Neurospora crassa OR74A: one gene and its partners. The protein of the gene in region 3 interacts with the protein of the main gene of each other region in a pairwise test. Links are inferred from orthologs where the notes say so. Each region holds a gene or a part of one and is shown on either strand. Other genes may lie near its edges. The genes, in order: eat-2, NCU04115 and NCU02510.

Evidence for each region.
Region 1: the proteins of NCU02510 (region 3) and eat-2 interact in a two-hybrid assay, tested with the Saccharomyces cerevisiae proteins (2 studies listed by BioGRID, with this or other methods). The link is inferred for Neurospora crassa OR74A from reciprocal best matches to the Saccharomyces cerevisiae genes CHC1 and SLA2.
Region 2: the proteins of NCU02510 (region 3) and NCU04115 interact in binary tests that used the Saccharomyces cerevisiae proteins (3 or more experiments, as listed by UniProt). The link is inferred for Neurospora crassa OR74A from reciprocal best matches to the Saccharomyces cerevisiae genes CHC1 and CLC1.

What each region holds. Positions count from the first base shown.
Region 1 is NC_026501.1:1,868,039-1,870,208, forward strand, and holds the end of eat-2 (cytoskeleton assembly control protein Sla2), read right to left. Parts: coding exon 1,254-2,170; intron 1,152-1,253; coding exon 1,059-1,151; 3' UTR 514-1,058; downstream 1-513. UniProt on the Saccharomyces cerevisiae protein: Required for cellular morphogenesis and polarization of the cortical cytoskeleton. It might act in concert with proteins such as CDC42 and CDC43 to limit the region of cortical patch formation to the cortex of the bud.
Region 2 is NC_026505.1:4,896,599-4,899,382, forward strand, and holds NCU04115 (clathrin light chain), read right to left. Parts: upstream 1,859-2,784; 5' UTR 1,608-1,858; coding exon 1,565-1,607; intron 1,492-1,564; coding exon 1,256-1,491; intron 1,169-1,255; coding exon 713-1,168; 3' UTR 509-712; downstream 1-508. Other genes in the region: NCU04114 (hypothetical protein), read left to right, coding at 106-166, 231-292; NCU04116 (DUF618 domain-containing protein), read left to right, coding at 2,627-2,724. UniProt on the Saccharomyces cerevisiae protein: Clathrin is the major protein of the polyhedral coat of coated pits and vesicles. In yeast, it is involved in the retention of proteins in an intracellular membrane compartment, presumably the trans-Golgi. The yeast light chain is important for cell growth.
Region 3 is NC_026501.1:2,562,710-2,566,466, forward strand, and holds the start of NCU02510 (clathrin heavy chain), read right to left. Parts: upstream 2,770-3,757; 5' UTR 2,170-2,769; coding exon 2,080-2,169; intron 1,990-2,079; coding exon 1-1,989. Other genes in the region: NCU02511 (S-adenosylmethionine-dependent methyltransferase superfamily domain-containing protein), read left to right, coding at 3,390-3,757. UniProt on the Saccharomyces cerevisiae protein: Clathrin is the major protein of the polyhedral coat of coated pits and vesicles. In yeast, it is involved in the retention of proteins in an intracellular membrane compartment, presumably the trans-Golgi.

The DNA of each region.
Region 1 (2,170 bases), about 690 kb from region 3:
CAAACACCAGCGGATCCAATACTTGGCACTGGTACATCCAATTACCCGTCATCCAAGCTATTGGTTGGTACGACAACGACGACTCCGCAGGAGCACTTTAATAGCATAACAACGTGAACGCCAACCGACCGGAGAGGGAAGCAGGAGAGTGTGATGGTTCGACTTTAGCTTGGCCTGCCAGAATGGGAAGAACTAGGAAATGCAAGTCAAGAGGGAGACAGAGACCAGACTTTCAAGCTGACGTGGGGAACGAAAAGAAAAAGAGAAAACAGCATAATGGACCAGGCGATAGGAAGGAAACGGAACTTGAACTCCCTCCACCAGAGATTTTCTCGTTCTGAATCTTGCTGCACGAACGAAAGCAGCCACCGATGACGAGACAACGAACGGGCTGCGACAAAAAAGCGAAGAGAGGGAGTGAAATGGGCCGTATAAGCAGACGTAGGGAAATTGGACAGCCGAGGGCTGAAGGACTGACGTGACAGGGGAAGGGGAAGAGGAGGCGGAAAAGGGGTGATATTCAGCAGCACAAAGCACGAAATTTGGTCGCCTACTCACTCTTGACGTATCTGGTAAACTTTCTGGCAGACCGACCGATCGAGCGAGCAGCGAGCAGCGAACGCGAAAATCGAAACCACAAAAAAAGGATGTACATCGCCATAAAAGAAACACGACGGATGCCAGCAGTATGACAGCGGGAGTGGCGGTTTGCCTGTGTTACCAAACACCCGCGCGAAGAGCGAACGGAACATATCCGAGGCCGAAGTTACGACGGCCAATTGACGACTTCAGTGGATGAAAAAGAACAAGGTGGATGAAACTGAGTTTAACACTAACACCTGATGACTCCCAAAGGAATTCGAGCTAGGTACAGAGGGGGTAGTTGAAATATAAAACATCTGATGAAGATTTTGGAAGACGCTGCGGGACGAAAACAGAATGAGGGAGGGGATCTGGTCGGATGCATGTGCCCACGCTGCGCATTGAAGCGTAAAGCCAGCGAGATGAATGAAGCCACCGAGTATACTACCTCAACAACCCCATGTGTTGCGGGACAATCAGTCCTCATCCTGTTGGTACGAAATCTTGCGCATCTCGCCAAGTCTGTGGCGAGCAGCATTCAATGCGTTTTCGAGTTGAAGGATTTCGACCTGTGATGGGGAGAGAATGAATTGGTCAGCAATGAACCATAATAGGCAAGACCAAGGGTACCGGAAATGAAAGAGGAAGGAAATCTCGAAGGAATCACGTACCTGTTGCTCCATCTCGCGCACCTTGAACTCGTGCGACCCAAGCTTGCTGTAGTCCACTTGCTCATCCTCGGCACTGCGGTCCTTGATCATGCTCTGGACTTGTCTGACGAGCGCACGGCAGGCGGCACCGACAGCCTTGCTGGCCTCCTCCAGGCTCTCCTGGTTCTTGCTCATGAAGCCGGCCTTCACACGGCTGGCAGCCACGAGCTGGGCGGTGGAGGCCGCAACATTATTAGATGCAACGATGAGCTGCTCAGGGCTGTTGCGGTTGGAAAGAACACCGTCAGCAGTCTCGATGAGAGTGCTGGTAGAGTTGGCAACAGCCTTGGCGGCGGAAATAAGACCCTCGGTCCATCTGTTGTTCTTCTTGTAAAAGGCGGTGCGCGAAGACGAGCCACGACCAGCTTGCACAATCTCCTGCTGTGTAGCGGTGGCAGCCTTGATGAGCTGCGCGATAGCGGTGGTAATGGCCATGGCGGCATCGAGGATTGAGTCGTGGACCTTGAGTTCGTAGGTAGTATATCCATCGCGAGGTTTGTTCTTGAGCTTCTGCAAACGGGCAACGGCAGCAGCAATGGCATCGGCTGCCCTGCTGAGTTCTTGATCGACGATGTCGCCAAGGTCACCCTTGTTAGCGAGCTGGCCAAAGCCAGGAGCGAAGGTCTCGACAAGCTTGTTCAGCTTTTGCAGGTTGATCTGGACATCGTTATTGCTGTTGATGACAACGTCGGTCTTCTGAAGTGGATCCATGCCCTCAAGGCGGAAGCTCAACAGACCACGGAAGAACTTGACTGTCGAATGGGCAGATGAACGAGCACCGTTGATCAAAGAGTCTCCCTTCTTCTCGTCAGTAGCGAGGCGAACGAGACCCTTGGTGTTACTGCACACATCAGCGATGGCGCCGGCGAAAACGTTGG
Region 2 (2,784 bases), on a different chromosome or scaffold from region 3:
CGACACTTGAGGATGGTTGGGGAATCAACAGATGGGAAGGAGGAGAGGGAGAGACGGAGAGGGAGGTTTTGTCGGGATAAGGGCTGATGACAAAATCGCGAACAGGGCCCTCGCAGCGGCATCATCATGACCACCTTCAACATTGCCATGTGGGGTACCTTCGGCGGTGCGTATACCTTCATTGATGGCTTATCGCTTCGTCCTTGCTCCTTCCGCTAACTGTACATCAGCTTCCATGTACGCCATGTCCCGCAAGGTTCTCGGCTACAACACCTGGTTCTCGGAGGATTAAATTAGCCGTCCTACCACGATAGTCAACGAAGGCGGTGCTACTGGTCATGATAGAAGCACGAGAATCCCTTTGAATATGTGTATAGTCGCAAAGAGCAGCATAGATGGCGGCAGAGGGCAGGCCGCTTTGGGTGATACCTCCAAGAAGTAGGCCGCCACGCCGATATTCCCTATTTGCATCATGGATTCCACCGACCACCTTTGGGAGAGCTACTGTAACCGTGGAAATCGTGATCCATTGGGTCTCGGCGCTTCGATTACCAAGCTCCAAACACTGATGGCTGCAGCTGTCAAGTCTTTTCTATCATTACAAAATTATGGCTTTTTGGCCATGGGGCAGTAGTGGCCATGGAGGTGTGAAACCTGTGAATAGTGGTAACCAGGCGTTCCCTTTGTCATGGGGGCAGATCAAGTAAGCGCTTTAAATCCCCGAGGCACCGGGGGCCTTTTCGTCCTTCTTTAGGCTTATCAGGAGCTCACGGAAACGCTCCTTGCCGGAACCAGCAGCACCGCCCTTAGCTCCCTTGCCGCTAACGTCAACCAGCTTGGCAATGCGCTCCCAGCTCGTGCCTCCCGATGTGGTGTCCTCGCGGCTGGCAAGGAACTCCTCGGCCTCCTTGCGGGTCTGCCCAATGGCCTTCTCCTTCTTGTTGTTGTAGTTCTCGTAGAATTCGTCAATGTTCTTCTGCGCCTCCGCGATGGTCTCGGCTCTCTGGGCGGCGAACTGCTCCGCCCGCTTGGCAAGCTTCGCATCACGCTTCTCGCGCCACTCTCTGATCACCTCGGGCTCTTGCTCCTCCTGGGCGTATGGCGCATATCCAGAGTTGTAGGTGACGGAAGGACCGGCGCCAGTGATGGTACCGCCTGGCGCAACAGACTAAAGTGAAGATGCCCCATGTTAGAACCCAAGACCATGATTACGTGCTGTGTCGACATCTTTGGTATCATCATTATTTAGTCGTACCTCGTTGCCTGCGGAAAGGTCGGGGAACTGGCTCTCGAAAGCAGCGCTAGTCTCAAGGCCAGCGCCGGCGCCAGCGGAGGAGTCAAGGCCACCCCCTAGGAGGTCGTTGTCATCGTCGAAACCAGCATCCTCAACTGTCGCAAATTGGTTGGCATCGTCGCCGAGAAGCGCCTTTTCGCGCTCGAGGAAGTTGGAGGCCGAGGGGCTTCCAGAACCCTCCTTGATCTCGGTCTGGGCTTTTGTGGGGGTTTGAATGTTAGCAGGCAGTAACAGCAAGGTAAGGGGATCTCCAAACAACGCCAAGCTTACCGCCGGAGTCGAACTCCTCCAGCGAGGGGAATCTGTCAGCCATGATGTGGGTGGTGTGATTTGACTTTTGGTAGATCGGCGCGAACGGACAAGACTGGAGGCTGGAGAAGTGGACTGAAAAACGGAAATATTGGGTAGGACGGAGGATCGAAGAAAGCTGCGAAACAGGCAAGGTGTTTCGTTGTTTGATGGAAGTGTCTTTTGGTGTTGGTGTTGCACTGCGGGAGTCCGAGTTGCAGCCCACCCCAGCGCTCCTGATCGCGCCAGGTTCCAGGTTGCGACGGGACGCCACTCACAGCGGCCACTGGGGCACTTTGGCACTTGTCCACAGTAACAGCGACCCTCTTGGGCCTCTCCATTTGGCCAGGGGAAGCCGTAGAGGTAGTAACAGCTACCTTTAGGTACCGGCAGGCAACTCCATTGTCTGCGTGCGGCAGGCGTTCCGTTGTCCCTCTTCCCCTGCCTGCCCTCGCATTGGACGGATGGAGGAAGCTCCAACGTCTGCTTCGTTCCGTCCCACCACCTCCCGTCGACAACTTCTTTCTTCCTTCTTCTTCTTTTTCTTCTTCTTCTTCTTCCTTTCATCAACAACATTCAGCACTCACCTCGCTGTGGTTTCAGTTGTTTGTCACAGAGCATCCAGATCACGCTCATTTGCGCTTTGCACTGCAAACTCTTCCTGGTGACAGCATTGGTAATAGCAGGGAAACGACTCCGGTGTAGTTGGACCACAGAGCTTGACTAGGTGCTTAGTTCGTGCTGAGCACTTCTCTCTTGCCGTCATCTAGTGTGTTGTGTTGATAGTCCACGCTTCTGCCATTTGAGGTTGTTCCCAAGGGCTTTCGATCCATATTCTAGATCACCACTCGGCCGCGTCTGGAGTCCCTGCTACTTACACGCAAACATCACGGATACCTTTTCGTACTGCTGTAGATGAGTTCTGAATAAACCCGACACCGCATATCTTGAACATCTGCCCCGTCCATCACACCCACCAACCAACCAACCATCAACAACCACTTTTTCCAACACTTTCCAACAAATTTCGCCTAAAGCTTCACCATGGCGTATAACGAGGATGCTGTGCTCTCTAAGCTCTCTGCACTCACTGAGACTCACGAGAGCATTGCAACCACCGCTCAGTGGATCATGTTCCATCGGTAAGCTCCCGCTGCCCACGACCGACGACCGCATTCACCTGCTGTTTGATGTCTCGACCG
Region 3 (3,757 bases):
TGCGACTTGAACGACAGTCTGGAGATTCTGGCGAATATTGTGCTTCATCATGGCGTCCAGGCAGTCAAGCGATTGCTCAACAGACAGCGCCTTGAAATACTCAATCAACCACTCGGGGTTGTAGTTAGGCATTCCAGGGATGTTGACAATAACCCGCTTGATGGACGCAGGATCCTCATAGAGCTCCAGGGCCTTCTGCAAAAGACCTGCTTGCTCGCAGAGGTTCGCAATGTGCGCCTTGTCAAAGTGGGAGAACATGTCGTTGCCAAGAATGGCGTCAGCAACCTGGGGGGCGTTGACGAGGTTCATCTCCAATAGACGAGTCTGAAGGTGGGCATGCTCGGGCTTGTTATCCTTCAGAGCGTCAAGAAGGAAAGCAGTTGCTTGCTGGATCATTCCTTGAGACTGGAAGATGTCAACCACCTTCTCGAAGTCGACCAGCGGGCCGCCTTCGTGATTGGCAAGCGTCGTGGCAAACTCGGCACCCTTCTCAGCATTGACACGGACAATGTGGTGGAGAAGCTGAATAAAGTCAGGCTGGTAGTTGGCTTGACCGCAGTAGGGCAGAATCTTCTCAAACTGGCCAGTCTCGGCAAACCCAGCAACAACCTTGTGAGGAGCGTTGGCCTTCAAATAGATGGCAAGCGCCATGTTAATGTCGTGGGGCCGGACCATGTCACCAAGTCTCTCAGAGCACTCGAGCTTGTTCTCGCTGAGCCACTTCTGCAATAGCTGTTTGCGGTTCTGAGCGAGAACGGGTTGGGCAAGCTCAATGGTCTCATGCTCGTTCAGCGAACCCTTGTCTAGAAGCATACCAAAGTACTGCAAGATATGCGACATCTGTCCAGGCTGCTGTGGAAGACGCTTGAAGCGCTCGATGGTCTGAGGAGTGCGAAGGAAACCTCGAGGAGAGTTGGCAGCCACCTTGGCGGCCTCTTGGTAGTTGCCATTGCTGAAGAGTTGCTCGAAGCGTTGCTGGTAGAGGTTATCGGCGCCTGGGAGCCCTGCACGAGAAGCCAACTTGATAGCGAGCTCATTGCCGTGTGCCTCAAGGACGTAAGGAACGATTGTGTTCTCATCGGCGCTGACGAAGAGAACCTGTCCCTTGCGGTTGATGCCAATGACGCCGGTCGAATCCTTGTCACCGCAAGCAGTGAAGATAGTATCGCTTGAGATGCGGTTCATGAAGATACATGTGGCAGTCTCGAGGTCGTAGAGGTGGATGAAACCGTACTTGGTGATAAGGTAGATGATGCCGTACTTTTGCGAAACCTGGAGGGCGACGGGGAAGTCATTGCTGGCCTCGGGAGGGAAGAAGACGTCCACGGCCTTCTTGGGGAAGACGGGGTTTGTTTCGGGATGGTCGACCTCGACAATGTGGAGCTTCGCGCCGACGGCGGTGCGGACCGCAAAGGTAAACACCTTGGTGTCCTCCGGGGCGCCCTCTAGTCGGAGGGTGCCAAAAGCAGCGGCATGACCCTCAATAGCCTGGCTGATACCGCGGTCTTTGGAATAGAGCTGCATGGCGCCAACAACGCGGCCCTGCTGTTGTGAGATACCGACAACAACCATCCACTTTCCGTCGGCGCTGGTCCGATAATTAATTATTTGGTTGCCCTGGAGATTAGCATTACGATCGAAGACCTTGACCGGAGCGGGCTGGTTCGGGTCGAAGACATCCCAATGGTAAACAGAGCCATCTGTGATCAAGCCAAGCGTGGTCTCGCTAACCCACTTCCAGAACAAGACATCCTCGCTCATGTTTGTCGACTTGAGCTTGGCCTTGTTTTCGAGGTCGAAAATCTGGAGTGTGCGCGCCTGGGCCTTGAGGGCAATTACTTGGCGCGTCCAGTGCATTATGGCACTGTCGGCCTTGATGGGACGTCGGATAACATTATTGCCGTTCTTGAGATCGACGATGATGACTTCAGGGGACGCTGCCTCGTCCTTCTTGTCGCGAATACACACCCAGTTGTCCGATTCTAGAGTCTGGGAGCGGGGGGTTCACGTCAGCAGGGGTGCCAGAGGAGGCGCGACAACTGTCACTAGCAGAGTCAGAGCAAGGTGAGGACAACGTACACAGGTATTGAAAGTGATGGCAGTCTGGTTGATGCCGAGGGCGCTGAGTTGCAGCAGCTCCTGGAATTTGATGGGTAGGGCCTGAGCCATGATGGGCGGTGGTGTTGCGCTAAGCTGCGCGCAGAGTGACGAAGATTAGCAGCCAACTTATCAAAAGCGGCTGGAAGGTGAATCCGCTGGGAAGTAGAAAGATTGGGGAAATGGAGGCTCGTGAAGCTCCGTGGACTGAATGGAATGGCGGCGACGTGAAAGGAGGCGGTGGTGGTGGTGGTTGGTTGTACTTTGGGGGGAAAATGACCGAGCTCCCGAGAAATGGGGAGGGGGAAAGAGGACGGATGAATCAGGTAGGTAGAGGTAGGTAGGAGGTTGGAGGTGGAAGGATTAACGCAAGGTCCAGAAGGCAGGTACGCAGTAAAACCCGCCGCCAAACTGTGGGTGAGAGGTGAGTCGCGATTTGCCGCTCAGTTACAGATACGTAAAGTAAAGGCGAGCAGGTACCTCGATGTCACCTCACTTCAATGCTCCAGCAGAAAGAATAGAGAAGAATCGCGGTTGTTGAAGGATGCAAAGCAGCAAGAGGAGACGTCGTTTGTTACGGGAAGTTAGTACCGTGAGAGATGAAAGATACAGCAGGAAAGATGGAAGGTGCTGAGGTGAGATGCCTCTCCAGCTGTCCAGTGTGTTTGTACATGCCGCAACTGTTCAGCGCAGACGGAAGGTACCTCTAGTACCTCTCAGGTTACCTGCCTGCTTTTGAGTGATGTGTTAACACGGGACCTCGCGGCCGGGGCGTCCACCGCCCACCGGCGCCGGCTCCATTCAGTGCTTCCCCCTGCGTCGGGTGCGCCTAGACCAGGCGGCAGGCGCCTGCCCGGGAGGCCTGCCTGCCCCCTTCGCTTCAAGCTGTCCGCCCGGTCCAGGTTGCCCGCCCTCATCCCGTCATCCTTCTACTTTCCTTTGCCCGCATTGATCGCCTCTCCTGCGAGGTCCGTCAGACGGTCCTTCCATTTCCTACCTCTAGGTACCTTATACCTCCAGGCCGCCTGCCTCCGGGGGCGCCGTTCATGCCGGGCTCCAGGGGCAGCTGTTCCCTACTCCAGAACAGCCCAGCTCCAGGGGTAGCGTCAGCTGTTGCTACAGGGATTCCGAACTTGGCCCAGCTTGACTAATGTGGGGCACTGACCAATGGCTCACCTTTTGGGACCGCAGTGAGGTGGAACCCGATTTGAGGAAAGAGACTTGGCATTGCTATCGATAAGCTTTTTCAGAAAAGAAAATCGACCCGGAGAAATATCCACAAGCGCCTGTCGATGGTGGGCTATCAGTGTTCAAACCAACCCCAACAACATCCCAATCACCACCAGACGACCAGCAATACCATCAAAATGGGTGTCGGACGTCGCATGCAGAAACAGGGCCCTCCTGAGCCCCTCTCGGAGGAGCACTTCGCCAACCTCAAGCGCAAGAAGGGCATTCCCTTTGACGAAACCACGACCGAAGTCGACACTAGAAGATCCAAGAAGCAGAAGATTGTCAAGAAGCAGCCCAAGACATCCGGCTCCAACACTGTCGCAGTCAAGGGCGCCAAGAAAGAGGTCAAGGAGGTGAAGAAGACTGGCACAAAGCCCGCCCACAGGTCCAAGGAGTCCAAGAAGCCTAAGAAGGCAAAGCAGCCTTC